Sus scrofa: one gene and its partners. The protein of the gene in region 1 interacts with the protein of each later gene in a biochemical or structural test. Links are inferred from orthologs where the notes say so. Each region holds a gene or a part of one and is shown in the gene's direction. Other genes may lie near its edges.

The links.
Region 2: the proteins of UBE2D1 (region 1) and SIAH1 form a complex in vitro, tested with the Homo sapiens proteins (3 studies listed by BioGRID). The link is inferred for Sus scrofa from reciprocal best matches to the Homo sapiens genes UBE2D1 and SIAH1.
Region 3: the proteins of UBE2D1 (region 1) and RNF125 form a complex in vitro, tested with the Homo sapiens proteins (4 studies listed by BioGRID). The link is inferred for Sus scrofa from reciprocal best matches to the Homo sapiens genes UBE2D1 and RNF125.
Region 4: the proteins of UBE2D1 (region 1) and OTUB1 form a complex in vitro, tested with the Homo sapiens proteins (2 studies listed by BioGRID). The link is inferred for Sus scrofa from reciprocal best matches to the Homo sapiens genes UBE2D1 and OTUB1.
Region 5: the proteins of UBE2D1 (region 1) and RNF7 form a complex in vitro, tested with the Homo sapiens proteins (11 studies listed by BioGRID). The link is inferred for Sus scrofa from reciprocal best matches to the Homo sapiens genes UBE2D1 and RNF7.
Region 6: the proteins of UBE2D1 (region 1) and HDAC6 form a complex in vitro, tested with the Homo sapiens proteins (2 studies listed by BioGRID, with this or other methods). The link is inferred for Sus scrofa from reciprocal best matches to the Homo sapiens genes UBE2D1 and HDAC6.
Region 7: the proteins of UBE2D1 (region 1) and TOPORS form a complex in vitro, tested with the Homo sapiens proteins (3 studies listed by BioGRID). The link is inferred for Sus scrofa from reciprocal best matches to the Homo sapiens genes UBE2D1 and TOPORS.

The regions. Positions count from the first base shown.
Region 1 is NC_010456.5:92,302,281-92,306,401, reverse strand, and holds part of UBE2D1 (UB2D1), read left to right. Parts: intron 1-284; coding exon 285-362; intron 363-1,532; coding exon 1,533-1,638; intron 1,639-4,121.
Region 2 is NC_010448.4:36,358,966-36,363,604, forward strand, and holds the start of SIAH1 (E3 ubiquitin-protein ligase SIAH1), read left to right. Parts: upstream 1-1,594; 5' UTR 1,595-2,277; coding exon 2,278-2,368; intron 2,369-3,877; exon of another isoform or gene 3,878-3,940; coding exon of another isoform or gene 3,941-4,025; intron 4,026-4,639. UniProt on the Homo sapiens protein: E3 ubiquitin-protein ligase that mediates ubiquitination and subsequent proteasomal degradation of target proteins.
Region 3 is NC_010448.4:115,870,934-115,875,054, forward strand, and holds part of RNF125 (E3 ubiquitin-protein ligase RNF125), read left to right. Parts: intron 1-3,299; coding exon 3,300-3,453; intron 3,454-4,121. UniProt on the Homo sapiens protein: E3 ubiquitin-protein ligase that mediates ubiquitination and subsequent proteasomal degradation of target proteins, such as RIGI, MAVS/IPS1, IFIH1/MDA5, JAK1 and p53/TP53.
Region 4 is NC_010444.4:8,087,735-8,090,619, reverse strand, and holds the end of OTUB1 (ubiquitin thioesterase OTUB1), read left to right. Parts: intron 1-921; coding exon 922-1,040; intron 1,041-1,229; coding exon 1,230-1,314; intron 1,315-1,410; coding exon 1,411-1,605; intron 1,606-1,736; coding exon 1,737-1,934; 3' UTR 1,935-2,092; downstream 2,093-2,885. UniProt on the Homo sapiens protein: Hydrolase that can specifically remove 'Lys-48'-linked conjugated ubiquitin from proteins and plays an important regulatory role at the level of protein turnover by preventing degradation.
Region 5 is NC_010455.5:82,546,850-82,551,654, forward strand, and holds the start of RNF7 (RING-box protein 2), read left to right. Parts: upstream 1-1,625; 5' UTR 1,626-1,770; coding exon 1,771-1,945; intron 1,946-4,805. UniProt on the Homo sapiens protein: Catalytic component of multiple cullin-5-RING E3 ubiquitin-protein ligase complexes (ECS complexes), which mediate the ubiquitination and subsequent proteasomal degradation of target proteins.
Region 6 is NC_010461.5:42,916,448-42,921,158, forward strand, and holds the start of HDAC6 (histone deacetylase 6), read left to right. Parts: upstream 1-1,765; 5' UTR 1,766-1,862; coding exon 1,863-1,958; intron 1,959-2,100; exon of another isoform or gene 2,101-2,254; intron 2,255-2,265; exon of another isoform or gene 2,266-2,292; intron 2,293-2,684; coding exon 2,685-2,807; intron 2,808-2,891; coding exon 2,892-3,020; intron 3,021-3,159; coding exon 3,160-3,248; intron 3,249-4,711.
Region 7 is NC_010452.4:33,864,871-33,869,451, forward strand, and holds the start of TOPORS (E3 ubiquitin-protein ligase Topors), read left to right. Parts: upstream 1-1,558; 5' UTR 1,559-1,709; coding exon 1,710-1,721; intron 1,722-1,743; exon of another isoform or gene 1,744-2,333; intron 2,334-2,880; coding exon 2,881-3,075; intron 3,076-4,581. Other genes in the region: NDUFB6 (NADH dehydrogenase [ubiquinone] 1 beta subcomplex subunit 6), read left to right, coding at 1-31. UniProt on the Homo sapiens protein: Functions as an E3 ubiquitin-protein ligase and as an E3 SUMO1-protein ligase. Probable tumor suppressor involved in cell growth, cell proliferation and apoptosis that regulates p53/TP53 stability through ubiquitin-dependent degradation.

The DNA.
Region 1 (4,121 bases):
AGCTGTAGCTGCCAGCCTATGCCAGAGCCACAGCAACGCGGGATCTGAGCCGCATCTGCAACCTACACCACAGCTCAGGGCAACACCGGATCGTTGACCCACTGAGCAAGAGCAGGGACTGAACCCGCAACCTCATGGTTCCTAGTCGGATTCATTAACCACTGCGCCATGACGGGAACTCCTGGCATTTTTTTTTTTTAATGATATATTTTGGGGAAATCATTTTAGGTTACTACTAATAAATATAGTAATCAAACACTGATGCAATTATTTTGTAATTTCAGCCTGATAGCGCATATCAAGGTGGAGTCTTCTTTCTCACTGTACATTTCCCGACAGACTATCCTTTTAAACCACCAAAGGTATCTTTATTTTTATGGTTCATGTGACAACTCTGTCAGGGGTTTTACTCTATCCAATATTTTCATGATGTCAAAAGACCATGGGTAGGCTGGCATGTTCAATCTTTTCTATAAAACCACTGAATCTAAATTATGCTTTCTTACTCAAATATTGTATTATGTCTGTACACAGGAGGCAGTGTCTCTTAGGCAGTAAATTAGCTTCCCTACCTGTCTTTCTCTCCTCATTAGATATATGTAGTACAGGGGGGTTTTATGGTTAAGAATTAGACTTTCCATTCAAGGGGTTATCTATCCTAGGTTGGCCCTTCCTTCTCAGTTTTTAAGCACTCAGTAAACATTTGCTGAACACCTACCATGTTCTGTTGCATTGGGGAATATAAAAACTAAATGTGACACAGTCCCTTTAGTGTGGTAGGTGGGATTAAAAGCACGTTCTTATTAAAGTTAGATCAAAAGAGGAAACAAATGATGGGAGTATATCAGTGCGGGAGGAAATCATTAACAAATTCTGTCACTCAAGAAATAATTATTTTAGATTTTTAAAAACCCCTGAATAGGGAGTTCCTCTCTGGCTCCTCAGGTTGAGGACCTCCTGTTTTTGCTGCTGCAGCTCAGGTTGCTACTGTAGTGTGGGTTTGATCCGTGAATCAGGAGCTTCTGTGTGCTGTAGGCATGACCAAAGAAAACATTGTATATGAAGTGATATAACAGCTCTTGTGGAAGATTAGAATTCTTGGTGAATTTCTTAGGACAGGTTATAAGCCGAGGCCCCTCAACTTTCTTCTGGAATAGGGTCAGCATCCTATTTTTAGATCCAGGTGTCCCTTTGTTAATCAAATTAAGAAAAGTCTTGCTTTGAGGGATGGTTAATTACCTCAGGTGCTGCCGAACCAGTCATACTAACCATTGTAGACTTATTTATCACACTTTCCAAAATAATTCTTAATTCCTTGGGGTGGGGAGAGCAGGAGACTGATTATTTGCTTTCACATTATCAATAGCTAAAGCTTTGCGAGTATAAAGTAGATGCTCATCCAGTTTGTGTTGAATGCATTTCTCCAGTAAGATCACATAAAATTGAGGACATTTTACCCTGGGGCAAATTAATTGTTTGGTTTCATAGTTCATGGGTTGTCACAGTTTTGTTTTGTTATGTTTTATGCCTAGATTGCTTTCACAACAAAAATTTACCATCCAAACATAAACAGTAATGGAAGTATTTGTCTCGATATCCTGAGGTCACAGTGGTCACCGGCTCTGACTGTATCAAAAGGTAATTTCCTTTATCAGATTTATAGTTGTTGGTAACAGTGAGACAGGAAAAATACAGCAGAGGTATCTCAGAGACAAAAGTTTAAAAAAACCAATTTACTGTGTTTTCTTCTGCTTTGATACTGCTTTGTTTTCCTATCTTTTATATTACTCTTGCTTGAGGAGTTGATGGGCAAATCTAAATGATGAAATGTCAGAAATTTAAATGTTAGAGCTAGGAATTTGGGGATAAGCCAGTTGACCTTTTACTCCTTTAGTTTGGGCTTTATCTTTAAAAAGAGAGAGACAGAGACACGCAAACACACACATAGCAATACAAATGAGATTTGGGGGGAGTTCCCATCATGGCGCAGCAGAAACAAGTCCAACTAGTTTTCGCGTTCGATCCCTGGCTTCACGAAGTGGGTTAAGGATCCGGAGTTGCTGTGAGCTGTGGTGTAGGTCACAGACGTGGCTCGGATCTGGCCTTGTGGTGGCTGCGGCATAGGCTGACAGCAACAGCTCTGATTGGACCCCTAGCCTGGGAACCTCCATGTGCCATGGGTACGGCCCTAAAAAGACAAAAATAATAATAATAATAAGATTTTGGGACCAGTTGTCCTACCCATTAGATGGAATTATTTATTGACGTAATGAGTAAAGCTTTACATCTAATTCACTTCATCTAAGAAGAAATGTCAGACTAGGCAGATAAAATAAATGCTTTTAAAAGAGAGACATATTTACCACTTTAGAATAATGTAGCACATGTGGCATGTTAGTCTAAACTTCAAATAATCTATAGCATCCTTGTAAGGACTGATACATAATCCATGGAGATTCTCAACTTTCGCAAATGTATATAGCACTGTTCTTTAATAAATTATGAGATGTATGTATAGGGCATCTGAAGCTGTTTTGTTTCATTAGCCAATGCTGTTTGCTTTGCCAGCCTCTTAATTTTGTCATGGTTCTCCAACAGAAGAGAACTTGAATTACTATTTTGAGTTAGAAGCATCTGCCCCTAAAAGCAGGAGTTCCCGTCATGGCGCAGTGGTTAACGAATCCGACTAGGAACCATGAGGTTGCGGGTTCGGTCCCTGCCCTTGCTCAGTGGGTTAATGATCCGGCATTGCCGTGAGCTGTGGTGTAGATTGCAGATGCAGTTCGGATCCTGTGTTGCTGTGGCTCTGGCGTAGGCCAGTGGCTACAGCTCCGATTCGACCCCTAGCCTGGGAACCTCCATATGCCGCGGGAGCGGCCCAAGAAATAGCAACAACAACAACAACAAAAGGACAAAAAAAAAAAAAAAAAAGACCAAAAAAAATAAAAATAAAAAAAAAATAAATAAAAGCAACTTGGTAGTTTGCTTTTTATAAAATTTAAGAAAACTGTTTCTCTTGAAGGATTCAGGAGAGGAATCCATGGTCATTTAATTTTTTTTTTTTCTGCTTTTTAGGGCTGCACCTGAGGCATATGAAGGTTCTCAGACTAGGGATCTAATCGGAGCTATAGCTGCCAGCCACAGCCACAGCCACAGCAATGCCTGATCCAAGCCACGTCTGCAACCTACACCACAGCTCACGGCAACACCAGATCCTTAACCCACTGAGCAAGGCCAGGGATCAAACCTGTTTTCCCTTGTATCCCAGTCAGATTTGTTAACTGCTGAACCACGACGGGAATGCCTAGAAAATTTTTTTAATAAATGTTGTCTGAATATGTAATGAGGTCTTTTGTGATTTTTCTTGGTGTGCCCACAGCATGTGGAAGTTCCCAGGCCAGGGATTGAACCCACACCACAACAGTGACAACACCAGATCCTTAACCCTCTGAGCCACCAGGGAACTCCTATAACTTGTTTTTTAAATGCTAAAGGAGTTCCCTGGGGCTCAGTGGGTTAAGGAGCCAGTATTGTCACTGCTGTGGCGCACGTTCAGTCCCTGGCCTGGGAGCTTCCTCATGCCTTAGGTACACCCAAAAAAAAAAAAAATTCATGTGGATTCTAGTGTCCTTTTAAAAATCTTTCACATTGGAGTTCCCGTTGTGGCTCAGTGGTTAACGAATCCAACTAGGAACCATGAGGTTGTGGATTCAATCCCTGCCCTTGCTCAGTGGGTTAAGGATCCGGTGTTGCCTTGAGCTGTGGTGTAGGTTGCGGATGCAGCTCGGATCCCGCGTTGCTGTGGCTCTGGCGTAGGCCGGTGGCTACAGCTCTGATTAGACCCCTAGCCTGGGAACCTCCATGTGTTGCGGGAAGCAGCCCTAGAAAAGGCAAAAAGACAAAAAAAAATTAAAAATTAAAATAAAATTAAAATCTTTCACATAATAGGCGTTCCCGTCATGGAGCAGCAGAAATGGATTTGACTAGGAACCATGAGGTTGCTGGTTCGATCCCTGGCCTCGCTCAGTTGGTTAAGTATCCAGCGTTGCCCTGAGCTTTGGTGTAGGTCCAAAGACTTGGCTCGGGTCCCATGCTGCTGTGGCTGTGGTGTAGGCCAGCAG
Region 2 (4,639 bases), on another chromosome or scaffold:
TTTTTGATTTAGATTAAAATCTAGTTAAACTTTATACCAAATGAGACTTGAGATGTAGGCTTTAGAAAGGGTAGGTAATTGGTAAATTTTGCGTTTTTGCTAACTTTGGATTCCATGGGCTTGTCTTAGTGTAATGTAGTTTTTGTGAAAAATTTCCTTCCTTGTAAAACCCATTTAAATAAATAATCTATCTAGACATTTTACTATATTGTGCTAAAAATTAAATGACAGTTAATCTTTGGTATACTTGGTCTCTAGTTGGTGACCTCAGGCAAGGCAGGTTAACTTTTGGAATTATGTAAGTGAATACTTCCATATTTTGGAATCTGTACCACCTGTAATGTACGTAATTTACCCATCTCCCTTAATCCATGTAAAAGCATGCAAGGCTGGCAGTACTGTTCTGATTTTACAGTTGAGTAGGTGGTGAAAGCTGGGTTTGAATCCCAGTGTAGATGACTCCGGAACTCTTCCATTTTTACTGTCGTGACTGACTTACTGAGAAATGTGTCCATAGATTAATGGTTTTCAGACAGTGTTGTAAGCTTCAATACAGGTCCTTTGGAAGTTGGAGGAAAAAAACTTTTTAGTTTGAGGAATTTGTCATCCTTTTTACTTGTTTTACAAATTTGGACTCTGTCTTCATACTGTTTGGAAAGAGTTTTTCTGCCTAAAACATTTAAAAGTCTTCTACTTTAGAAACCCAACACCTAGCTAGAGTGAATATGTATTAAAAAATAAAGACATTGGTAATAATAATTTAGATTTGTCCGTGGACAGATTATATTTTCAGTTATGTTTCAGTTCCTAATGATGTTTTGTCTAATATCAAAATGAGACTGAGGTGACTGAATACTATTAATAGGATGGGGAAGTGATTTGAATTAAAATTTTATGCTGAAAATGGACAATCTACAATTTACACAGGGTTCACTCTCCACTACAAGCTCTTGCTCCCTTTAAAGGCTGCCCTAAGCGTGATGTAATGACAGGTTAAACCTCTGAATGCTGGAGCTGACGCAATGAGAATCTGAGGCCCAGGACTTTATTGGGACAAGGGTAATGCTTGTTTAAAAACAAAACAAGCTATTTTGTTTAATGAGGGCGTTTAAGATGGCTTTCCCAGAGTGGGAAGAGAATAAAATCTCAATTTGGACGTTGAAGTAGAAGTTTAATATGGTTATGTGTTTACGACTCTCACTGCGACGGCTTCTCGAATCGAGAAAGGAAGTTTGAAATAAGGTGCTGACGGCGGTAAAAATGGAGAAGTGAGTTAGAATTGAGGAAATAAGGTAGTTGACATCTGATAAATAGTTAATGAAGTAGACAAATGCTTTTGCTATATAAAAATCCGGAGTTTGCACGGTTAACTGGCAGAGTATAGAGCAGAGAAGAGTGCTTGTCTGGCCACGTATTTTCCATATATTCTATGTAGCGCTATGAAACCACCCCAAATTGCGATATCCGACTGTTTGGGCCTACTGAAACGGAGTGTTTCCACCTCACGTAAGCCGGTGGAAAAGCTGAGGCGTGCGGTATGTCTCCGGGGATCGCGAGGTTCTGCGGAGCTGGGTAGCTGTGTGGGAGTTGCGCGCTGCATGCTCGGGATTCTTGCCAGAGCCGTGCAGGAGCGACTGCGAGCCCTGGAGCCGCCCTAGGCCGAGTGGGGCGGAGCTTGCAGCCCCGCCTCCATGCGCCGGCCCGCCCCTCTCCTGCCGCGGCAGCCACCGCCCTGAGTGCTTTGAGCCTTCGGCCGGCTGGCAATCTGCGTTGGAGCAGGCTCTCCCAGCGGCAGCCCGGCCCAGGCCTCCAAATGGCTCTCCCCGCGGGCCGGACCCTGCAGCGGTAGCTCCAGAGCTGGGACTGAGAGCTGCACCGCTTCGTCCAGTCGCTGCTGCGCACTCTCCAGCCCTGTCCTTCACCGAGCTGGCCAGAGCCTAGCCGATGAATTTGGGAAGACAAACTTGGGAGACAGACGAAGGTTTAGGGCCCAGCAGAGGACAGCTCAGCAATGGCTCCCATTTTTGGAGACGCAGGCGAATTTGAGCTCATGGGGAGGTGTGGTCGACTCCTCTCGGGGCGGGAGGGTGCTTCATTTCTCTGCCGCTGTAGCCGGTGCTTCTGAGGAGTGAATGGAGTGTATGGGGCATGGCACGTGCCTTCCTGTCTTGAAAAGTTGACCCTGGACAAATTTAGGAACGGAAGGTGTCCAGTAGGGCCCTCTGTTACAAATAGTCTCTATTCGTGGGGGAAAGGCTATGAGCTGCCTGGCTTCTCATGACCGGGAAGTCTCCCTTACCTTTTCTGTACTCCTGGAGGGGCGTCTTGCTCACTTGTTTACCAGCATCCGGGACAAGGAAGAGAAAAGGTATTACTGTTAAGAGACTGGGTTGCTTAAATTGTGAATTGGGCAAGTTGTTATAAGCTGGTGGAATTTGAATGGATCAGGGAATGGCTGCAGCGTAATTGAGCTGGAGATGTTTCTTTTGAGCAGCTCTACTTTTCTCAGTTTAAAACAAACTTCAGGTTATGCAATGACTCCTCCAGGGTTGTCCAGACACTTGAATCCTTGATTCCTACTGCAGGTCTGCTGTGTTCTTAGGATTCCTTTTCTGTTTGAAGATGGAGCTGGGTTCCATCTTCTGAGCTTTGGGAGGTTTTAGCAGCTGCTGTCCTGTAATACTTTCATTCATAAGAATTACAAGCTACATTTTGCTTGCTTTTCACACTTTGAATAGGAATTTAAATCGTGCTTTTTCTACAGTGTTTGGAAAAATAATAAATATGTGTTATATCATAAGTCTGAACTATTGATGATAAATGTGTAACTATTTTCCTAGGTCAAGAAATTAAACAGTAATGCTTTGCTTGCTTAGTAGTTATATTATGTTGAATACAAACTGAGTTTACTGCCTCCTGACGCGATTTGTTGTTTTGGCGTAGTGAATTGAAAGGCATTGGTGGCTTAGATCATTTTGTGCTGAAGGAACCACTTCCCAGTTACTACGTTGCTCTCTTAAAATAAGCAGCATAAAATGGACTATGAAGTAAGCATACAGCACACATACAGGGCATTTTGGTAATGCTAAGCCCATTGTTCTGCTAGTGACCTAAAATAAAATGCATAGATCATCATATGCACAAAAAAATCTCCTGGGGAAAACTGGATTACAGGAGAGTTCCTTTATATTGGTCTAGAACACCTGGGTTACACAGGGCTTCAGATGGTAAGAATTGATTCCTGTTGTCTTAAATCCTTGTGATGGGCCACATTATGATAGAATCCTGTGGTACTTTTGTTTCTCCTTGAACTTTAGTCCTTTAGTGACAGTGATCTTTCCGATAGAATAATTACAGTTAGGGAAAATATGAAATCTGAAGAGTTAAATTTTAGTTTGATAGAAATATGGCTTAGGGTTCTTGGGAATATACTCTTAAGGACGTCCGTAGACTGATCTTTTGTCATCCCCAAGAAAATGGCCTACCGTATCCCAGCAAAGGTAGATTCCTGGGAAAAGCTGCTAGTTTATCTTTCATTCACCCTGACACATAGTTAACATTGTTGATCATTTCTTCCAGATGGCATTTATTTCATAAATAGTGTTTATTGGTGTGCTGATGAATGCTTCAGCAACACTGGTGAACTTTAGGGTACGAGGCATTCTTTACCTGTTGACTCTATCCCTCACCTCCACTGTTGTGTGAGTCTCTCTGGTGCTTTTGATCTTTATTTTCTTGACTCTCCTTCACCTTTGCAAATTATACTGGTTTATATTGTAGAATGGAAGTAGAATGATTTACTGTGTCTAAATACTGGACTCAGAACTTTTATGAGAGGATGGCCCTCCATTTCTCTTCTACTTTCTCACTTTTGAAGGGGGCATGGATCAGTAGGAAACAAGATTAATTCCTAGCTGGTGTTAACTTTCCATGAAGATGGATGATGAAGAGGAGGTGGATGGTGGGATGGCAGCAGACCCTTCCCCTTGTCGCCCCTTTCATTCCCCAAATTACTCCTAGAGCAGGTAACCGTTCATCATTAGGAGGAATTAATCAAAGTCAGTACCCTGGTGATCCTTTGGATCACATGTAACTCCCTGGAGCACATGTAACAGCTGACTCAGAATGAGTAGGGGAGGTGGGGGAGAAAGTCCAGTCAAAACTGATTTTATTGCACTTAAGCTCCTTCTTGTTTATGGTCCAGTTTCTATTTTAGCATTTATTCCACGTAGTCCATCCAAGTATGATTTTTAACATTTTTTTTTTTTATTTTTTTTTATTTTTTTGTCTTTTTGTCTGTTGTTGTTGTTGTTGCTATTTCTTGGGCCGCTCCCGCGGCATATGGAGGTTCCCAGGCCAGGGGTTGAATCGGAGCTGTAGCCACCGGCCTACACCAGAGCCACAGCAACGCGGGATCCGAGCCGCGTCTGCAACCTACACCACAGCTCACGGCAACGCCGGATCATTAACCCACTGAGCAAGGGCAGGGACCGAACCCGCGACCTCATGGTTCCTAGTCGGATTCGTCAACCACTGCGCCACGACGGGAACTCCCTTTAACATTTTTTAGAGAAAAGGAATTCTAAATGTGCTCTGGAACCTTTTGAGAAGAGTACAACTCACGTATTTGTGTCAATTT
Region 3 (4,121 bases), on another chromosome or scaffold:
TCCATCCCTCCTCTATCTCCCCCCTCGCCCTTGGCAACCACAAGTCTGTCCTCTAGTCTATGAGTCTGTGTCTTTTTCGTGGCTAAGTTCATGTGTCTGGCTTCTTTACTCAGTATGTCTTTGAGCTTCATCCATGTTATTGCTTGTATCAGTTATTTGTTCTTTTTTATCACTGTGTAGTATTCCATTGTAAGACTGTGCCCCAGTTTGTTTATGCATTTACTTGTGGATGGATACCTGGGTTATTTCCAGTTTGGGGCTAATATGAAAACATTCCTTCTGAATGTTCTTGTACAAATGGACTTTTTTTTTTTTGTTTAATCTCTCTTGAGTAAATACATGAGCTTGGTATTGCCCAGTCAAGGGCTCCCCTATTAGTTTTGTTTGATCAGACAGACACTACCAGTCCATTTGTCCCAAGTGGTTGTAGGTGATTAACTTTTTAAAAGAATCGTTTATTGTGTAGGTAATTTGTTCATATAGTTGAAACTTAAAAATCAACAGTGAAAATACCCTTTTTCTACCACATACACCATTCTTTCCAGTTCCTATTTCTCCAACAGGTAGGTAAATGTTCTTGTTTTCTTTACCCTGGATGTTTTTATCTGTCTACAAACCTGCAAGAAACTTATACTATATACACACTTGTATACTTTGCTTTCTAAAAGGTTTTAATTTTGAGTTGTCTGGTCTGTGTGCTCCATTATATAATATAAATTTACCTAAAGTTGAATAGCCCAGTGTGTATTCTGATTGGACAAATCACAAAACTTTTGATTGCTTGTATACTTTTCATGCCAAGGTAAAAGGGTAGGGGATGTTAGATGCTACAGCCCTCATGACTTAGATTTGATAACTATACCTTTAAGGAGAGCGTGTTTACCTCAGGTCTTCTGAACTAAGCAGTTCTACAGTTTGGTTTCTGCACCCTAGAAAGTGACACTTGAGCTGGAGTAGCATCCAGTACTTTTCCATGGTAATGCTTTTAAATATTGTGGGTTTTCAACATAGTGTCTGTGAGGATTTGGGTTCAACCCCTAGCCTCACTCAGTGGGTTAAGGATCCGGTGTTGCCACAAGTTTCGCTGTTAGGCTGCAGATGCGGCTCACATGCAGCTCAGATACCATATTTCTGTGGTTGTGGTGTAGGCCTGCAGCTGCAGCTCCAATTCGACCCCTAGCCCCGGAACTTCCATATACCACAGGTGCAGCCCTAAAAAGGAAAAGACAAAAATGACCAGCCAAGTCCAAACTCCATAGATGGGACCTTGCAAAAGTAAAATAACTTTATGTTCCTTGGTTTCCTCATCTATAAAGGAATAATGATCTTTCTTAGGCATTTGATAAGGTTAAATGAATTAAGATATGTGGAAGTGTTTTAAAATTTTGTAAATGAAAAAGAACCATGTATCAAGTAGGAAATTATATCAAAATATAAAGTTACCAAACAATATTAATACCAAAAACCCCTAGGAAGAGAAGAGTAGAAACCCAGCAGATCTGGGGTTCTAAAGAAAGAGCAGGACAGTCCCATCAAGTTGTCGCTGAATCGGTCCTTATGTCACTCTGTTTAGGAGTCATCTCCACTTAGTCTGGCTGACATCAGGCACTCTGCCTTCAGCAGGAGGTTGTGTGCAACTGGGATGAGGTCCCACTAGATTGTGTCTAACACATGATGTGTGGTTCCTGCAGAGCAAAATCAGGGTGCTATGGCAAGAAAAGGGGAAGTGGATGGTGGGCAGGCATAAACAGCAAGCAAATGCCTCAAGAACAGTGCAGACGTCAGCATGCTCTGTGTGCAGTGTAGGGATTTTGTAACAGAGGCAGAAGAGACTGCTTTTAAGAGTCAGCAATGGCTAATATACTTGGGAATTTCATTTGCATTGTTTCATGGAGGAGTTCCCGTTGTGGCTCAGTGGGTTACAAACCTGACTAGTATCCATGAGGATACAGGTTCAATCCCTGGCCTCATTCAGTGGGTTAAGGATCTGGTGTTGCCATGAGCTGTAGTGTAGGTCACAGACATGTCTCAGATCCCACATTGCTGTGGCTGTAGCTTAGGCTGGCAGCTACAGCTCAGATTCATCCCTAGCCTGGAAACTTCTGTATGCCACAGGTATGGTCCTAAAAAGCAAAGACATACATACATACATAAATTCATGGAACAATATATCTATGATAGACTGACTTTTCAGTATGTATAGTATACTTAAACTTGAAGCTCTCAGATCGTGCCAATGTGTATAACCTATCAAAAAATGCTCACTTTTACTTCTGTGCCACTTAGCCTTCAATGGCTCCTACAAATAGGTCAAGATTTTGAATTCTGTTGATTATGTTAAGACTTTATCATGATCATCTTTAAGTAAACCAGAGAATATATTTCTTGACTTGCAGGACATTCCTAATCGTGGTAATTTTGACTAGATAATTTTCAACATCTACAGATGAGGTTTTTTGGGGGTTTTTTTTGTCTTTTTTTTGCTATTTCTTGGGCCGCTCCCGCAGCACATGGAGGTTCCCAGGCTAGGGGTCCAATTGGAGCTGTAGCTGCCAGCCTACACCAGAGCCACAGCAACTCGGGATCCGAGCCTTGTCTGCAACCTACACCACAGCTCACGGCAACGCCGGATCGTCAACCCTCTGAGCAAGGGCAGAGATCGAACCCACAACCTCATGGTTCCTAGTCGGATTCGTCAACCACTGCGCCACGACGGGGACTCCCCAGATGAGTTTTAAATTATTTTATAATGACATTACTACCAAAAACCCCTAGGAAGGGAAGGGTAGGAACCCAGGCAGATCTGAGGTTCTAAATAAAGAGCAGAACAGTCCCATCAAGTTGTCACTGAATCAGTCCTATGTCACTCTGTTTAGGAGTCATCTCCCAGAGAGAGGGTTCACTTAGTCTGGCTGACATCAGGCACTCTGCCTTCAGCAGGAGGTTGTGGGCAACTGAGATGAGGTCTCACCAGATTGTATCTAAGACATGACATGTGGTTCCTGCAGAGCAAAATCAGGGTGCTATGGCAAGAAAAAGGGGAAGTGGCAGAACAGCTCTTAATATACAAAGTGTCATTTAATACAGTTTCTAAGAGTTCCCAGGTGGCTCAGTGGGTTAAGGATCTGGCATTGTCACTGCTGAGGCTTGGGTCACCGCTATGGCATGGGTCCAGTCCCTAGCCTGAAAACATCCACTTGCTGACAGCGCAGCCAAATAAAAAAATAAAATAGAGTTTCCACAAATGAGCACCTAGTGCTGTTAAGGAAAGTGATGTATTCTTGGTTGGTTTCCTGCAGATTCTGCCGTTCCTGCATTGCTACCAGTCTAAAGAACAATAAGTGGACCTGTCCTTATTGCCGGGCATATCTTCCTTCAGAAGGCGTTCCAGCAACTGATGTAGCCAAGAGAATGAAATCCGAGTTCCAGAATTGCACCGAGTGTGACACTCTGGTACGTGACCCTGCTTTTGTTCATGTTACTGGCTTAGACCTTTGAGAAAATGGTGATGGCAGCCACTCCTTTCACCTATGCCTTTGACCTCATGCTACCCTGACTTTCCAGAGTTTAATATCTCAGCCTCTTCTCTTCCTTTCTCCCAATTTCATATGTATGGGCTGCAGGACTACAGTCACATGACACCTGATTTTTCAGACACACACTTTTGCCTACCACCTCCATTTCCTCTCTCCCCATTACTCCATGACCCTCTATTACCTGGCCTCCATTCCTGCCATGCAATTGCAGCCCACCCAGCGAATAGCTTTATTTGCAAATCCAGTGGCACATTTCCACATATGTCATTCTGGGCTCTGCAGTATTTATCTCTGTTAACCACTTCCTCCTTATTGCAGTTTTTCTCCCTTGATGCGACACTAGCCTGGTTAGATCATGTGAGCTCTTGCAAGCCGTGTCAAAGATTGTAGATTTCATCTTCAGTGCAGTAGTGAGTCATAGGAGAAGTATAAGCTTTTGATCAGGTTTATATTTTTGAAATATCACTCTAGCGAGTGCATGGAAAATGTTTTGAAGGGGACAAAAGTAGGGTTGGTAAAGCCAATCAAGTGGCTTTTAGGGCAGGTAGTAAGGAAACCGGGTTAGGGCAATAGCAAACAACAAAA
Region 4 (2,885 bases), on another chromosome or scaffold:
AGGGGGACCCTTGGACTTAAGAGGCATCCGTGACCTTCACTAGAGCAAAAGCCTGCTTGGATTGAGGTCACAGCAGGAGGGGACGGAGACAGTGCACGGGGCAGGGGAATTGGGTGGTGGCTGGAAAGGAATTCGTGTGAAGCAAAGGTTTTTTTTTAAAGGGAGAACTCTCCTGGTGTTTAAATGCTGATGGGTCTGAACCTGTAGGGAGGGCGGCGACCCCCTGGAACAGTGTCCCTGGAACAGTGTCTCATCCCAGGGAGGCGTGGCCTCAGACCCTCCCAGGGCCCAGAGTGAAGGCCATGGGCAGGTGTGCCGTGGGGGCTGGGGTTCTCAGGGGAAGTCTTCAGTCCAAAAGGAAGCAAGGTCAAGGTGGGTGGGGGTTTGAAGAGAACAGAAAAGGTATGAGATGGGTGTCGGGGAGAAGGGGAGGGCGCCTAGGCTGAGGGAGTGAGGCCTTGACTCCTACAGGGAGGTTCAACAGACAGAGAAGAAATTTCACTGAGTTTGGGGAGGGAACCAGAAAAGATGGAGCCAGTGCCTGAGGGTGGGCGGGGTAGAGCTTAGAAGGAGGTGAGGGAGGCTGTGTCCAGCCCCAGGCTGTGCCATGGGCACCACGCTGCCCTGGAGCTCTCCAAGTGTGAAAGGTCCTTCCCTGGAAAAGCTGCTTTGATCAAGGACTCAGTCACTTGCCCAGCCGCTGGTGACCCGTGCAACCTATGTGTCCAGAAGTCAGTTTCCTGAGGCTTTGGGGGCTCCTGGTAGCATCACCAGAGTCAGCAGCCAAGGATGGCAGGTGGCTGCTTGGAGCTTAGTTGCCACCTGCTGTAGAGCAACCTCGTCAGGGCGGTTTCCTCGGCCCGCCCTGGCTCTGGCCTGATGTTGATGGGCCCGGGTGGGGCGGGGGCTGCCTCTCCGCAGGACCTCCACAAAAAGTACTCGTACATCCGCAAGACCAGGCCTGATGGAAACTGCTTCTATCGTGCTTTCGGTTTCTCCCACTTGGAGGCGTTGCTGGATGACAGCAAGGAGCTGCAGCGGTGAGGAGGGCGGGCCCTCGAGCACAAAGAGGCGGGTGGGGCAGGGTCCTAGGAAGGGCCCGAGGGGCTCCCTCCATCCTCCTGGGGACCAGGAGGTGCGGTTCCCGTGCTGCCCGGGCCCCCACCTCTGAGCTGGCCTCTCTGCTGGCCGAGGAGCCCGCGCAGCCTCTCTTTCCCTCCCGGCTGCAGGTTCAAGGCTGTGTCTGCTAAGAGCAAAGAGGACCTGGTGTCCCAGGGCTTCACCGAATTCACAATTGAGGATTTCCACAACACGGTGAGCCTCTCGGCCGGGTGGAGGGCGGGGGGCCTGGCCGAGGCAGCATCGGCCCATCTCCTCCCTCACTTGCTCTCTGTCCCCCTTGGGCGGCAGTTCATGGACCTAATCGAGCAGGTGGAGAAGCAGACCTCAGTGGCCGACCTGCTGGCCTCCTTCAACGACCAGAGCACCTCGGACTACCTGGTGGTCTACCTGCGGCTGCTCACCTCGGGCTACCTGCAGCGCGAGAGCAAGTTCTTCGAGCACTTCATCGAGGGTGGGCGGACCGTCAAGGAGTTCTGCCAGCAGGTGCTGCCCCCTCCCCGCTCCCCAGACTCACTGGGGCCTCAGGGTGGGAGCCTCGGGGCCCGGGGGTGCACCGGGTGGCTGGGGGTGCGGAGGCGCCAAGACCCAGGCCCTGAGCGGCCCCTGTGCTGCAGGAGGTGGAGCCCATGTGCAAGGAGAGCGACCACATCCACATCATCGCGCTGGCCCAGGCGCTCAGCGTCTCCATCCAGGTGGAGTACATGGACCGCGGCGAGGGCGGCACCACCAACCCCCACATCTTCCCCGAGGGCTCCGAGCCCAAGGTCTACCTTCTCTACCGGCCTGGACACTACGACATCCTCTACAAATAGGGCTGGCCCGGCCTGCCGCCGCCCTGCCTGCCCTCCCCTCTGCCAGGCACTAGACATGTACAGAGGTTTTTTTTGTGGTTGTAAATGGTCGTACTTCACCCCCCACGCCCTTCCCTGTCACACGACCTTCCATGTTTTATTAAAGGGGACGCTGGTGGTGAGCCGCGTGTGTGCGTGTCCCTGCTCTGCTGCTGCCCTCCTGGCTGCTCTCTGTCTGGCTGCCCCACCCCCCTCAGGTGGCTTCCTCTCAGCCTTCCACCTGTCCACCCCCAAGCCTCCCCGCCAGGAGTAGTTTTGAGGGGGCTAGGCCTCTTGGGGACCCCTCCTGGTTATTGGGCCTCTGCTTCCTTCCCTTCAGGCCTCTGCCCCTGCCCTCCTTAGCCAGCCAGGCCTTCCAGGGGAATTTGGAAGTTCCTTGGAGACTGGCCCAGAGCCCCAGGACCACCAAGGCTTCCAGCTCTGCCCTCATAGGCCACGCCTCCGCCCTGCTGCCCTGGCCTCCCCGGCCACCTGCTCTCCATCAGGGGTCTGCATGGTGGAGAGGGCTGGCCTGAGGGTGCGGCCTGGCTCAGGGTAGGCGGAGGAGCTGGGCCACCCTAGTGCACCCCAGGTGCTGCCCTCCGGGCGGGGGAGGGCTGTCCTCAAGTCTGTCCTTCCCGGAGTCTAGCGGGGCTGGCCAGGCCCCCGTTCTTCCCCCACCCCACCACCCCCTGCCTGTGCCTGCTTTGCATCCCCTCTGCTTGGGCCGCGGTGTCTGCGTTGCCTTCCTCTCTTCACTTCCCCTGGCACATGTGGGGTCTCAGCCCCCAGGCTGTGAGCTCCTTGGGGGCAGGCCCTCAATAAATGTGAAGTGCTGCCCACCTCTGCTGTCTGGCCCGTGCCTCCACCTGCCTGGCTCACTGAGCGCGCTCGCCAGCCCCTCTAGGCCAAAGCACCCCTCCGCACCCGGGC
Region 5 (4,805 bases), on another chromosome or scaffold:
TTCAAACTGCCCAGTTCCCCCCAACTGGGGGCATTTTATCCTCATCTGGTTCTAGCCTTCTTTTTTAAATTAACTATCTGGCATTTATAGCATCTCTAGTCAGATGTGTGGTAGCTTAATGTGAGTAAAATGTGTGTCCTTTATGGTTCATCTGGGTTTGTTTACAGGCATTTTTGTCTGGCTCATAAACTTAGTGGGGTCAACTTTACATCTGCCACCACTACTACTGCTCTGTTCAACCTGACAGCCTTGCAGAGGTTTGCTTTCTCCACCCACTTCCGGGCCTCCGATGCCTCCCATCTTCCCCCAGTTCAAACGTCACCTCTTCCATCAGCATCTAGCCAAATGTGACCCAAATGTATCCACATTTATATTTTCACACATATATGCTTCCTTGCCTCCTCCGCCAGATTTCTGGAGCTTCTAGCCCCCATCCAGACATCAGGAGAGGAGGGGATGAGGCCCAGTAGGAAAAGGTGGGAGGCTCTGAATTCCAAACCCGACACAGCAGGTGTCCACCACTAGGTGGTAGTGGTGATCAGGCATCTTCGTGGGCTCTCCATACCACAGCTTTCTTATTTAAATAGAGATGTTATCTGCTTTGCTTGGGAAAACATAATAATATGACCCCGGGCTAGATGCAGAAGAACCCTGGATTCAAAACAGTTACCTTTAGGGAATAATGGTGTGTCTTTATCTTATTTTTCTGGACCTCAACATTCCTATCAATAAAAGGAGGATGTTGGACTAGATAGAGGTTCTCAGAGTGTGGTCCCCGGGGGTTCCTGGGATCCTTTCAGGGGAAACAAGGTCAAAAGTATTTGCATAACAATATTCACCGCTATTTCTCTTCACTTTCTCCTGTGAGTATACAGTGGAGTTTTATAAAAGCTACAAGATATGTGATATCCTTGTTCTAATGATTACTTGTAATGGGTTTATTGCTTTTCCTTGCGGGGGCGGGGGGTGGGGGCACACCTGTGGCATATGGAAGTTCCCAGGCTAGGGGCTGAATCGGATACAGCTACCAGCCTACACCACAGCTCACAACAACACCGATCCACTGAGCAAGGCCAGGGATTGAACCTGCATTCTCATGTATACTAGATACTAGTCGGGTTCCTCATCGCTTAACCACAACAGGAACTCCTATGGTTATTTTTTAAGTGAATACATTAAAATTTTTTTCGTATTTCTTAAAAAAAAAGTGTGTGTTTGTGTGTACACATATTTTACAAACCGAAAGTTCTTTAATGTTCCAGTGATTCTTAAGTGTAAAGGGGTGCCAAGACCAAAAAGTTTGAGAACGGCTGAACCAGATTTCTAAAAGATAGTCATTCATTCACTCAACAAATAACTACCCCTCCTGAGGCCAGGCATTTTTCACATACCCAGGAGAAGGTGGTGATCAAGTCACGTCCTCGCTCCGATGGCGTTTTCATTTAGGAAGGGAGTACATCAATATGACAACTTGTGAGAGCCAGAAGGGTCACGAAGGCATAAAGCAGAACACCTGCTTCCTGCACCGGCAACCCTCCTGAGCGCGGCGCCCATTCTTGGCCAAAGAGTCGGAGCGGGCCGGGCCCAGGGCGCGGGGGCGGTGACGTCACTGGGACGCGCCAGCCAGTCTCGGGCGGCCTCCGTCGTAGGCCCCACGGTGGCCCGCAGCCTGCGGGCGGCGCTGTGGCCCGGCGAGGGGCCCCAGGGAGCCGCCATAGTCGCCCGCCTTCCGCAACCTAACGTCTCCGCCGCCGGCTTCGCGCCGCCGCCATGGCAGACGTGGAAGACGGCGAGGAGCCCTGCGCCCTGTCCTCTCACTCCGGTAGCTCAGGAACCAAGTCGGGAGGCGACAAGATGTTCTCTCTGAAGAAGTGGAACGCGGTGGCCATGTGGAGCTGGGACGTGGAGTGCGATACGTGCGCCATCTGCAGGGTCCAGGTGATGGGTAAGCGCTGCACTCGAGACCCTGGCTGTGCTGCGGCCTCCGCGGGCCCAGCTCCGGCCCGTGGGACACACCGAGCCTCGGAGAGACTGTTCCTGGAGGTATAGGGGCGGGGTCGCCCTGCCTGGGAGCGAAAGACTGGGGCCACGCCCGTGCTGCTGCTAGTCGGAGGGCTGCGGCCGGCGACGGGGACTGGTAGTCTGGGGAACGAAACAGGTGGAAAGCAGGGCAGTTAAAAAGGTAATTTCAGGTAGTGATGGGTGTGGTCAAGACAATAAAAGTAGGTGAGTTGATGGGAGCTGCGAGGCACCACTTTGGTTTGTGGGCCCAACCTCGCCACCCTTTTCTAAAAGCAAACTGTAGAGGTCACGGTCAAGGCCCTGAGTCAGCGGGTCGTTTTAATGCTTCTTTTCACACACCAGAGTGATGCTCTGGAGTCATCTTCCACAGTAATGACTCTTAGTCTTGTTCCGGAGAGGCGCAGGAAAGAAGTGTCCCTAGCTGTTGCCTTTCGGGATTAGCTACTGTTCTGCTGGCTTTAAAACTTGGATGATTCAAGACTGGTCAGATGGCAGTAGCTTGTCTTGAAGAAGAATGTTAAGCCCTTTATTCAGAAACATAAATTTTAATCTCATTCCTGGCCCTACGCTATCAAAGGATGCCATTTCCTGGAGAAGACAGTGTCCTGATAGGCCTTTGTGGAGAATTTTCTTTTACAAATAAGTCACTTCTTTCTATAAATTTTTTTAAAAATATTGGACCAAGTGAAACCTTTCGGGACAGCTTCATCCTGTTATATTTTATATGGTTTCTGTTCTAAGATCTCAGAACACCTTGAAAAAGAGATGCTGTTTAAATGCATCCTTATTTTTTTTAATAGGGCATTTAAAATCACTGTGAGAGCATCTTAAATGAAACCGAGGTTTCTATAGTTTGAAAGCTTTTACATCTTAAACCGAAAAATCAGAGTTTTGGAGAAAATAACTCAAAAATTGCTCTCAAATCAACTATAAGGAGTTCCCTTCGTGGCGCAGCAGAAATGAATCCGACTAGGAACCAAATCAACTATAAAAGAAAAAATAAAATCTAAAAAAAAAAAAAAAATCACTCTCCCTTCTTGAGGAATGAAAATTCAGAACTGCCAGAATCAAGAGGTTTCTTCATTTACCCTCTCTGTAGTATGTTTTCTTGTTTTTTATTCATAAAATAAGGACTCATTTTAAAAGCAGATTTACAACAATGAGATATCATATATTTATTTTTTTACTTTTAAAAGAATTTTATTTCAGACATGATCCACGTGTTTTGCATATTAGGTTTTAAAAATACCTTGTTTATTGGCCTGCAATACAGCCCCCTTACCCTACTCCTTACTTAAAAACTGAAATCATAATTTCTGCTTTGAGTGGCATTTTTGACTTATCCAAACAATTTTTGTTCTTTTATGAGAAAAAACTTTGTTAAAAATTTTATCCCCTAAGTGATTAAAAAAAGAGGTTTTTCTGAAAGGTTATTTTCTTCTTCTCCCCAGGGAAAAATTTTAAATTTGTAAATAGAAATGCAGAGTTTTAAATAATGGTTGAAATTTGGCAGCAAATAAACCTTCCTGGTCAAAGTATGGGCTCTAAATGACTTAACAGGCACATTAACTTTCTAATTATAGCAAGTATTCCGCTACTGTGGATTAATGTTGCAGATTTACAACAGCTGTACTTTGGATTCAGGAAAGTATTCTGGACTAGACCTCTATATTTTGATTATAAGGTGTTAAAATCCACTTAGTGGTCAGGTGACGGCAGAAGGAAGTTTTATAGACTTGCCAATCCTTAGGGTAGCGTCATTCTTAAAGGTGTTACTGTTATTGTACTCCTTAGAAATGTGCTGTTTTAGATATTAGGAATATCACCAAAGGAAAAATGTTTTCTTTTATCTGAAACTTTAGGAATTTTTATACATTTAGGTCAGTTGTTTTTTTTTTAAATAATTAAATCAAAGCTATAAGCATAATTCAGAGATTTTTAGATTCTACAAAGAGCCTATCTAATCCCACTTCCTTAATATTTGGAATTCAGAATTCATCTCATACATCTAAATGATTTGTTATGACTTCTTTTTTAAAAAAATTTATTGTAGTTGATTAAAAGTGTTTCAGGTGTACAGCAAAGTGATTCAAATACACACACACACACACTTTTTTTTTCAGATTCTTTTCCATTGTAGGTTATTTCAAAATTTTTATGACTTCTTGATCTAAGATTTACCTGTCCACCCATTCTGATGTAGTTAACACTTCCTTGTTTCCACTCTTCCCCACCCCCACCCCCTTCATTCTGAAAGGAGCAAATGACACAGTGAGCAAGCACTGACAAGGAAAAGGGGAATAGGTTTGCTAGTACTGTAGAGGTATAAAGAGCGAGAGCTGGAGTTCCCGTTGTGGCTCAGTGGTTAACGAATCTGACTAGGAACCATGAGGTTCGATCCCTGGCCTTGCTCAATGGGTTAAGGATCCAGTGTTGCTATGAGCTGTGGTGTAGGTCACAGATGCGGCTCGGATCCCGAGTTGCTGTGGCTCTGGTGTAGGCCAGTGGCTGCAGCTCCGATTAGACCCCTAGCCTGGGAACCTCCGTATTACACGGGAGCAACCCTAGAAAAGGTAAAAAAGACCAAAAAAAAAAAAAAACCGAGAGCTGCATGTTAACTGGGACATTTGACATAACCTTTTGGAGCCTTGTTTTCCCAATTTGTAAAAAAGGCAATTGGGGTCATTAACTGTAATTCTCTGATTGCACAGAATCAGGGCCTTGTCTTCACCCTGATATCATGATCCTTATATGTAGTTGTTTGCCTCTCTACCTCCCCATTT
Region 6 (4,711 bases), on another chromosome or scaffold:
GGCATAGTCACTGTGGCTGTGGCTCAAGATCCATCTCTGGCTTGGGAACTTCTGTGTGCCATGGAAAGGCAAAAGAAAGAAAAGGAAAGAAAAGGGAAGGTGTTCCCGTCATGGCTCAGCAGAAACGAATCTGACTAGCATCCACGAGGACGCAGGTTCAATCCCTTGCCTGGCTCAGTGGGTTAAAGGATTCGGCATTGCACTGAGCTCTGGTGTAGGTCTCAGACACGGCTCCAAACTGGTGTGGCTGTGGCTGTGGCTGTGGTGTAGGCCGGCAGCTACAGCTCCGACTGGACCCCTAGCCTGGGAACCTCCATATGCTGCGAGTGCAGCCCTAAAAAAAGAAGATGAAGAAAAGAAAAGAGAAAGTGAAAGAAAGAAAAGGAAGGAAGAAAATGCCCCAGAGGCCAGTATGTGGCCTGCAAAACCTAAAATATTTACTATCTGGCCCTTTACAGAAAAAGTTTGCCAACCTTTGTTGTACAGAAACCTCCCTTCTGACTATACAAAAAAAGTGGGTCTTGGCCCTTACAAGACTCCCTACTCTTTCACTTTGCAAGCATCACCTCAGAACGTTCCTCTGTGTTTATCACTGCATATACATGTTTTCTCTGGCGTACGTGGAGGTGTAAAGGTCTTTTAGCTGCGACCCTCTTCCACTGGGACAAAAGACACGTTCAGGTAGGAAAAGAGTGGAAGGGAAGACTAGGTTGAAACGGGTTTGCAAGAGTGTCAGAGGGCCCAGCTACTGGGCGGTGGGGCTGTCAATCTGTTGGTTAGTCAGCGATGCTGAACCCCAGACCCCTTATCTCTCCCGCCCCAGCCTACAGCCCGGTAGGAAATGGTGAAGAATGAGAGAGGGAGATTAGGAGGACAAACCGGCCTCCTGCGAGGCTGATATTCAGACATTTAGCCATGGGGTGGGAGAGAGTTGGGAGGGCGCATTGTGGGGGGGGGGCGCAACTCCCCCCTACCCATACACTTTCTATTCCAGCTTGCGTGCAGAGGTTACCCACTGGAGGGAGCAGACAGGAAGAGCTGTCACCCAAGAAAAACTCCCCTCCCAAGGTCCATTCTGACTCCCCGGCACTATTATCACAATTTCCCAGAGGAGGAAACTGAAGCACAGAGTCGTTCAGTAACTTGCCCAAAGTCACATGGCTAAGTCCCATAACCTCAGTTTCCTTATCTGCAAAGCAGCCTTAGTACTGGGAAGTACCTCATAGAACTGTGGCTTACGACAATGCCTGTCACATACAACTTGCTATCGTCACGATCATTCCCCCTTCCATTCCACCATCCATTTTCGCGGCAGACTATTAATAGCTAACATTTGGTGAGTGCTTCCTTGCGTACCACCTTAGTGAATATGAACTCAGAAAATTCTCACATTTGTCATCATCACCACTCCCTTTTTGGCCGCCACCAGCCTCGTCCAATTTCCACCGCGCTCCAGGCCCAGCCACCAGCCCGCCCGCGCTACGTCATCACGGCGCGCCGCGCGGGAAGCCAGGGGGCAGGGAGAAGACGCCCTTTCCTAACTCCCTCGCTTGCTTGCTTGCACTCTTGAGTCACCGCACGGTACAGTTGGCGCGAGTCCGGTGGGCTCCTAAGGTAACTGGACAGGGACAAAGAAACCGCGGTCACGACCGCCAGGGTGACAGCTGTGGCGATTGGGGGAGGGGAGAAGCTTGAGCCCGAGCGCCGCGTCAGGCAGCCGGCGCGCGCTTCACGCAGGCGCGGCACGGCCAGCGTCGCGCACTGACGCGCTGATCCGCCGTTTGTGCGTTCCGCTGGAGGCGCAAGGCCGGCTCTCCCCGGTGTGGGCGGGATCGGGGCGGGCTGTAGAGAGATCTGGCCCAATGGAAAAGAGAGGCTCAGGCACCCGCGGCCCTACAGGTCGCCGAGAAATTGGCGGCGCGCGCCAAGGGCGGAGTTTGAGAAAGGGGCTGCGCCAAGTGAGTGGAGGGATTCGTCAACGTCGACAGCGGGGGCGGGGAGGGGGGGGCGGGTCTGGGGGAGGGGCTCGGAAATGGCTGTAGGGGCTTGGGGAAGCGTTTGGGGTTGGGCCTGGGCAGGGGGTGGAGCCTGGCGGAAGGGAAAGGGCAGTCCCCTGAGGAGCTGGGCTCCTTGAAACGTTAGGGGCGGGATCTAGCCTAGTGGAAGGTGCCGGTCCAGCCCGATAAGGGGTGGAGTTAAGTGGATCGTTAAGGGTGGAGTCGGGGCCCGGGGCTGGGGCTGGCTGAGTGAAAGGGTGGGTGATTATCCTGGGAGATTGGCTGGCCAGGGCAGGTTTGCGAAGGGGTGGGGTCTGGGCGAGGCTTTGAGGAATGAAAGGATCTGGGAATGGGGCTTGATAGAGTGAAAGGGGCGGTGATTAGCTGGCAAGGGCTGGCTTAGATCAGGACTGGGCCAGGGGGTTAATTGCTCTGTGAAAGAGCCAGACCGAAAGGGTAAAGAATAGTGTAAAGGGGTGGAGCCTCGTGGAATGGGCGGGACCAAGTGGAATGGACACCCCCTTGGAGGGAGAGAGCCTTGAGAGAGGCGGAGTTTAGAGGTGGTGGGGAATAGATAGCCTAAGGGATGGAGGCTAGCGTAGGGGGCGGGGCCTGGGAAGGGGCTGGGATGAGGGGTCTTCAGGGCGCTCGGGGCCCCTTCTCAGTCACCTCCATCCCACCCCCCAGAACCGCGTCAGGGGTGAAGTCTCCCCAGCCATGACCTCCACCGGCCAGGATTCCACCACAACCAGGCAGCGAAGAAGTAGGCACAACCCCCACTCCCCCCCACACGACTCCAGCGTCACCTCGGTGAGGCCCCTGACCGGCCCTCTTGAGGGGGAGGGGGAGCAGTGGGCCGTGTACTGGACTCTGACCCTTCTCTCTGTTTGGCAGAAGCGAGGTGTTAAAAAGGGTGCCGGACTCCGCTCCAGCCCCAATCTAGCGGATGTAAAGAAGAAAGGCAGAATGAAGAAGCTTAGCCAAGCAGCCGAGCAAGACCTAATCGTGGGGCTCCAAGGGCTGGTGAGAGGGGGCCTGGCTGCAATGTAGCCTCCTGTGACAATCAAAACCGTGAGGTTCTCCATCCTGGAGAGTGTGGGAGGTTCCCTCTGACTCAGGCTCTCAATGCATCAGCCTTTCCCTTTTTTCTTTTTCCTCACAGGATCTGAACCTGGAGGCCAGGACACCGTCTGGCACTGGCTTGGTGTTGGATGAGCAGCTAAATGAATTCCACTGCCTCTGGGATGACAGGTGAGGCTGGCTTCTCCAGGCCATACTCAAATCACACAAACATACACCCTTAGAGCCCATTAGCAAGAATGAATCCTTTCTTACTCTAGCACATGACCTAGGGAGACGAGGCTCAGGCTCGAATGGGTTCTTTTCATTTAGTCAACACATATCTATTGAGAGCCTACTGTGTGCCCAGGGATGGTGATTACAGATGTATCAGACCAGATAGACAGGGATCCTTCTCCAGGAGCTGACAGGCGATAAGGAGAGCAGGTCATCAAACAGCCGCCAGCAGTGTGAGGTGTTTTCATGAAGAAGGACTCGAGACCAGGGGAGTCAGAAGTGTTTAATAGAGGACCCTAGACTAGCATCCAGGGTTCCCAGGAGGCTTCCTTGAAGAAGGGATGTCTGTGCTGATACAGAAGAGTCACACGTTGCAATCTATCAGCACATCCTTTTGGCTCTATGTTCAGAATCTCACCTCTCCTCTCCGCCTCCATTGCTGCCACCATCATCTCTGACCTAGACTTGCAGAGGCCTCCCACCCTCAGCCCTGCTGCCCATGCTCCCCCTCCACGCCAAAAATATGTATAAGATGATGTTCTCTCTCTTTAAGTCCTTCAAGGGCAAACTGTTGCCCTGAAGGTAAAGTTCACATTCTTCACCCCAGCCTCTTGGCCTCTAAGGTTCCACGTGATCTGGTTCCCTAGCACCTTGGTGACCTCATCAGCCAGTCCTCCCCCTCATTCGCTTTGCTTCGCTTCACCTCACACACACTGGTCCCTTTACTGTGCTTCCAACATGCCAGGCACTCCCTCCCCTCAGGCCTTTACTCTGGCCAATGCCCTTTCCAGAAATTCACTTCCACCTTCTCTCCCAGTTAACAGTCATGTCTCCAGGAGACCCTCAGAGAGGGCTTTGCTTGGCCACTCCCCTTCCCCTGAGCTTCAGATTATTCCTAGCCATGTCATTGTTTGTCTGTTGTTATACTTATGTATTCACCAGTTTAGTATCTATCACCCCTATCCCAGTGGAAGAGTCAGGATGTCAAAAGACTTTACTATTGAAGTTCCCTTCGTGGCTTAGTGGTTAACGAACTCAACTGGGATCCACGAGGATGCGGGTTCGATCCCTGGCCTCGCTCCGTGGGTTAAGGATCCAGCATTGCCGTGAACTGTGGTGTAGGCCGGCAGCTGCAGCTCCAATTCGACCCTTAACCTGGGAACTGCCCTGTGCTGTGGGTGCAGCCCTAAAAAGACCAGAATAAATAGGGTGGTCAGGGGAGGCCTCAGTACGCGAGTGGGGATCTGCAGGAGGTGAGGATGTGAGCTACAGAGAACATCTGGGAGAAGCTTGTCCTGGGCAGGGGGAAGTGCCAGCTGGGACCTACTCAGTTTGGTTGAGGAACACGGAGGAGACCAATGCAGGAGAAGCAGAGTGAGTGGCCGGGGGGCGGGGGAAGCAGGAGGAAATGAGGCTCA
Region 7 (4,581 bases), on another chromosome or scaffold:
AATGAAAGAATTTCCTGATCAACATCACTGAAGATAACTTTAAAATTTCAAAGGCATATGAGCTATATTACCACACTTACTGAATATATTTTCTGGAAAAGTAACTTTAATAAAGTTTACTCTCAGATATGTGTCTTTTTCTTCCCAAACATTATACAATTTGAGACTCTTTGAATTATTTAATAAATAAAAACTGGGCATGTTAAATGATTTGAGCAAGTCACTTTTTTGGCCATTCTTGATTTGGAAAGAGGATGTAGGAAATTTAGTCACATGATAGTTTTTTTCTTACAGTATGTAATCTAGTCTTATGTGAAGGTATGCAACATAATGAAATCATGCAATAAATATAAGAAATTTTACACACTTTCAATTTTTTCTTTTTGCCTTTTAGGGCCGCCCCCCCCCACACACACATGTAAATTCCCAGACTAGGGGTCTAATTGCTACAGCCATGGCCATGCCAGATCTGAATTGCGTCCACCACCTACACCACACAGCACATGCAACTCCAGATCCTTAACCCAAGGAGTGAGGCCAGGGATTGAACCGGCATCCTTATGGCTACTAGCCTGGTTTGTTACCGCTGAGCCACAATGGGAACTACAGATTGTTTTAAAGAAGGCTTTTTGAGGCATTTCAAAAGTGTTTTAGAAACTAGCTTGAAAGGCTGTCAGATCCAGGTTCTTTGTTATATGAGATGATAAAAGACAAACCCCTAAATATTTGATAAATTAATACATTAACGGTTATTACAAAAGACTACACCAAAATGAAAGTGGAAACTTGTATTAAGGATTTTATTGTGAATCAAGACGAGTCCGATAAGCATGAGGTAAAGAACTGTATATACATAGAATTAAATTCAGAGGCGTTACAAATGTTCATTCGTCCCGAACATTTTGTCTGGGTGTTCCTTCTTTAGCTGTCGCCGCGCAGCTACAGTTGATGCATAGATGACATATCCCCATGAGAGTAGTACGACCGCGAGGAGCAACTGAAAAATGCAAGAAAAGGAGTAAAAGCAAAAACACGTGAGTGGCATTTCCTCCCCGCCCCCATCAGACAGCCCTGCACGTTGCCAAGGTGCAAATTTTAATAACAAACGAATAAATGGGGTTCCGGAGGCGAGTACACCAAGCCGCCCTGACGTAAGAAGCGGAAGAGCGTGTCCTCCAGGAAGAGGCGGAGTCGAGGTGAGGGAGTGAAAAGCTTAATTCAGGAATGGATTTTGGAGTTTTTGGGCGCTGAAGAAATACGGGGCCTTCCACCCGCGGGCCGGAGGAGTCGAGCCCTTGGGGCCCCGCCAGGCCCGGGGCCTACCGCTGAATAAATCCGGTCTAGGGTGCGGCGACTCACTGGCTTCATGGTAAGGAGGCGGCGGCGGTCCACGGGCACGGGCGGAAGCTACAGGCCTTGTAGTATCCTCCGGGGCGGTGGCTGCCGGGCGGCGGCGGCGGCGGCGGCCATCTTGCAGCCGGGCGCGAGCGCCCGCCCCGTCGCCTCCGCGCGCGTTTCCCATCGAGCGGCCGGCCTCTTCCGCCCGGAGCTGGGGGCGGGTCACGTGACGGCGGCCTAGCCCGCCTTTGAGGGAGGAGGTGAGAGAAACGAGGAATTATTTACTTCAAAAGTGGGTTTTTTGTTTTTGCCGCTGAGAGGGATAGGCTTGACTCGTCAGCCGATCTTCCTTCACTTGCTGTGCAGTATTAATGCAGGATAAGGTACTGTCGTGTGCATTTAAAAGTTTACTTGAAAAAAAAATCCACGTTTTAAATATTACACCGGCGTCCAGCGGTGGAAGAATTAATGTTTCCTCCGGGACTTGTTCCCACAACATAGGTAGTCGTTCGTGTATATTTATCTTTGAAGTAAGCTAGAATGCCGCCCGCTTTTATGTTAACTAACGCATCGTTATGGGAGTCCTTGTTAATTGAGCTTCTTTAAAAAGTCTTTGAGAACGCGATGGCTTGTTGATGCCAGTGATACTTATAAAAAGAAATCACCTGGCACGGACTACCTAGCCTAATGTACCTGCCAATCAACAAGTGTTGGTTGAACATTTGTGCTCAGAACGGTAGCAAGATCAGATAAATATTAAGCCAAAGGACGGAGTTCTGTACTCGGGCCGTTGTAGTAAGTTCAGCTCTAGAATGTTTGGGACGCGCACATTTGAGGCCTAACGGTAGAATGAGGCAACGGGCCGCTTTAGGCTCTAGATGTCTTGTCTCTAAGTATCTCAGTTATGAACTGCACAGAGTTTTCATCCAGCTTTCGGGGAGTGCGGAAGGAGGAAAACGTCATCTGGGGACGATTTCAAGGCTCTGTGGTCATAGGTAAAATCCCTGTTTATCCCCAGACTGGAATAGATCTCTGTCTCTGAAGACTGTAAACCTCGGACTTGGGATTCCATTCGAATCCCGGTGTTGGTTGGTAACTGCAACCGAAAGTCACTTCAGCTCCGTGTAACTCCGTTCCTTTATCTGTACAGCAGAGAGTTTCAGTAACTTCTCAGAGTTTGGTGAGGTTTGAAAGGAGATCGAACTAGTTACCGTGTCTTCCGGGTAAGGTAGAAGCGAACATTAACCCCCCTGCCGCCACCCCCCGAGAGATTGATAGTAACAGGAGTGAAGCTGTGGTAGCGATTTCTGTCTGGGGGGTGCTCTCGCCGCTCCCATTCCTGGGGCGGAGGGCGGTGGACGGTGGGGGAAGGGCCGGGTCCGGGCTGCGCGCGCTAGGCCCCGCCCTCGCTGCTGGCGTCTTCCACCGCGCATGCGTTACGTTGGCGGGTGCTGTGTTTTGACGCGCTGGGCCTGCCAAGTGGGTTTTGCCTTCTGCCACCGCCCCCAAGCTGCCATTGGTGATGATCGCTTTACGTCACAGGGGTCGCAGCAGCCGCCGGGGTCTCCGCTGTCTCGCGAGGAGGGTGAAGCGCCCCCGCCCGCTCCGGCTCTTGAGGGCCGGCGGAGAAGTCGCCGGGTTCGCCTTCGTGGGTCCTGCCGTCACCGACCCAGCTTTCTGGGCCGCCGGGAGCTTGCCACGAGCGCCCCAGCCGGGCCTGCACCGGCATCCTCCGAGGTGAGTGAGATCGGGAACAATGGGGCGCGGAGGTCGGAAGGGCTGGGCGAGCCCAAGCTCCCGCTCGCATCGAGGCCCAGGGGCGCGGGAGCTGCGGTCGGGCCTGAGGGGCCGTCGCGACCCGGCGGGCCGGGGTCTGGGACAACGGCTCCTGCGGCACACCTGTGGATCCACGCGGTTCGGGTGGGCGGGGAAGGGCTGCGTTTCTTAGCAGCGCTCCCGAGAGCGCGAGCGCGGCGGTGTACTAGATGGAGCTTGGTCGTAAGGGAAAAACCTGACACAAAACACAAAACAGTCGAGTCTGAATCGTGGCGTCACCTCTGTCAGAGATGTGACCTTGGATGGGTTGCCTAACCTCTCTGAGTATGTCTGTAAAATGGGAATAACAATATTTTAGTTCGTTGTGATTATGTAATGCACGCGGTGCTCACCCTAAGGAAGGGACTGTCGCTGTGGCTGTTGGAGTTGTCTGTGTACTGTTACATCCCTTGAGCCTGTGACTTCTTCATCAAGTCAGTGCAGCTTTTCTCACGGGCTGCTGATTGGTAGACTGGAAGGGGGCAGTACTGAGAAAAAACAAATAGTGATTTGAGTGCAAAAATGGATAGAATTTTTGGTAGGTAATTTTCGAGATTTTTTTTAGATGAATAACAACAAAGCTATCGAAGATTTAATAGCCGGTGAGAGTTTGGGGTTTTTTGCTTGTTTTTAGTCAATGACTTGCACAGTCACTCAAAGCAATCTTATCTGGAATGAGTGGCTTTAGAGGGGAATGGTTTCCAAGTAGTTCTTTTTAATTGCTGGAAATGAAATTAAATTTTGTGTTATGGTCAGTAGATTCTATAACTTCTGTTTGATTTCTTTGGGATTGGTGATGAAATTACAGTTCAGAAAGGTACAGTGATTTCTTTACTGTCAAAAAAGATAAGGCCCAGATTACTTTTAATACTTCGGGGTGTATATCTAGTTCATCCACTTGGTGAACCCATTTTAGCTACTTTGCTTAGATGTGTTAAATGCAACACTGATATTAATATGAAGATCATTTAGTTGTTATAGACTGTCATCTTTCTGGGCATTTATAATCCATCATGGGTGATGGAAACGACCAAGATTAACTTTATTTTCACATAACATAGAAAAACAGTATTAAGTTCTTACTGTACAGCTGTACATCAGAGTTCCCGTTGTGGCGCAGTGGAAACAAATCTGACTAGGAACCATGAGGTTGCGTGTTTGATCCCTGGCCTCACTCAGAGGGTTAAGGATCTGGTGTTGTGGTGAGCTGTGGTGTAAGTCGCACATGTGGCTCAGATCTGGCGTGGCTGTGGCTGTGGCGTAGGCTGGCAGCTGTAGTTCCAATTAGACCCCAGACTGGGAACCTCCATGTGCTGCAGGTGCAGCCCTGAAAAGACAAAAGACAAAAAAATAGTTCTTACTACACACCAAGTACTGTGCTAAATGTTTACATGGAATATATCCCTTCACACAACCACTTTTTTTAGT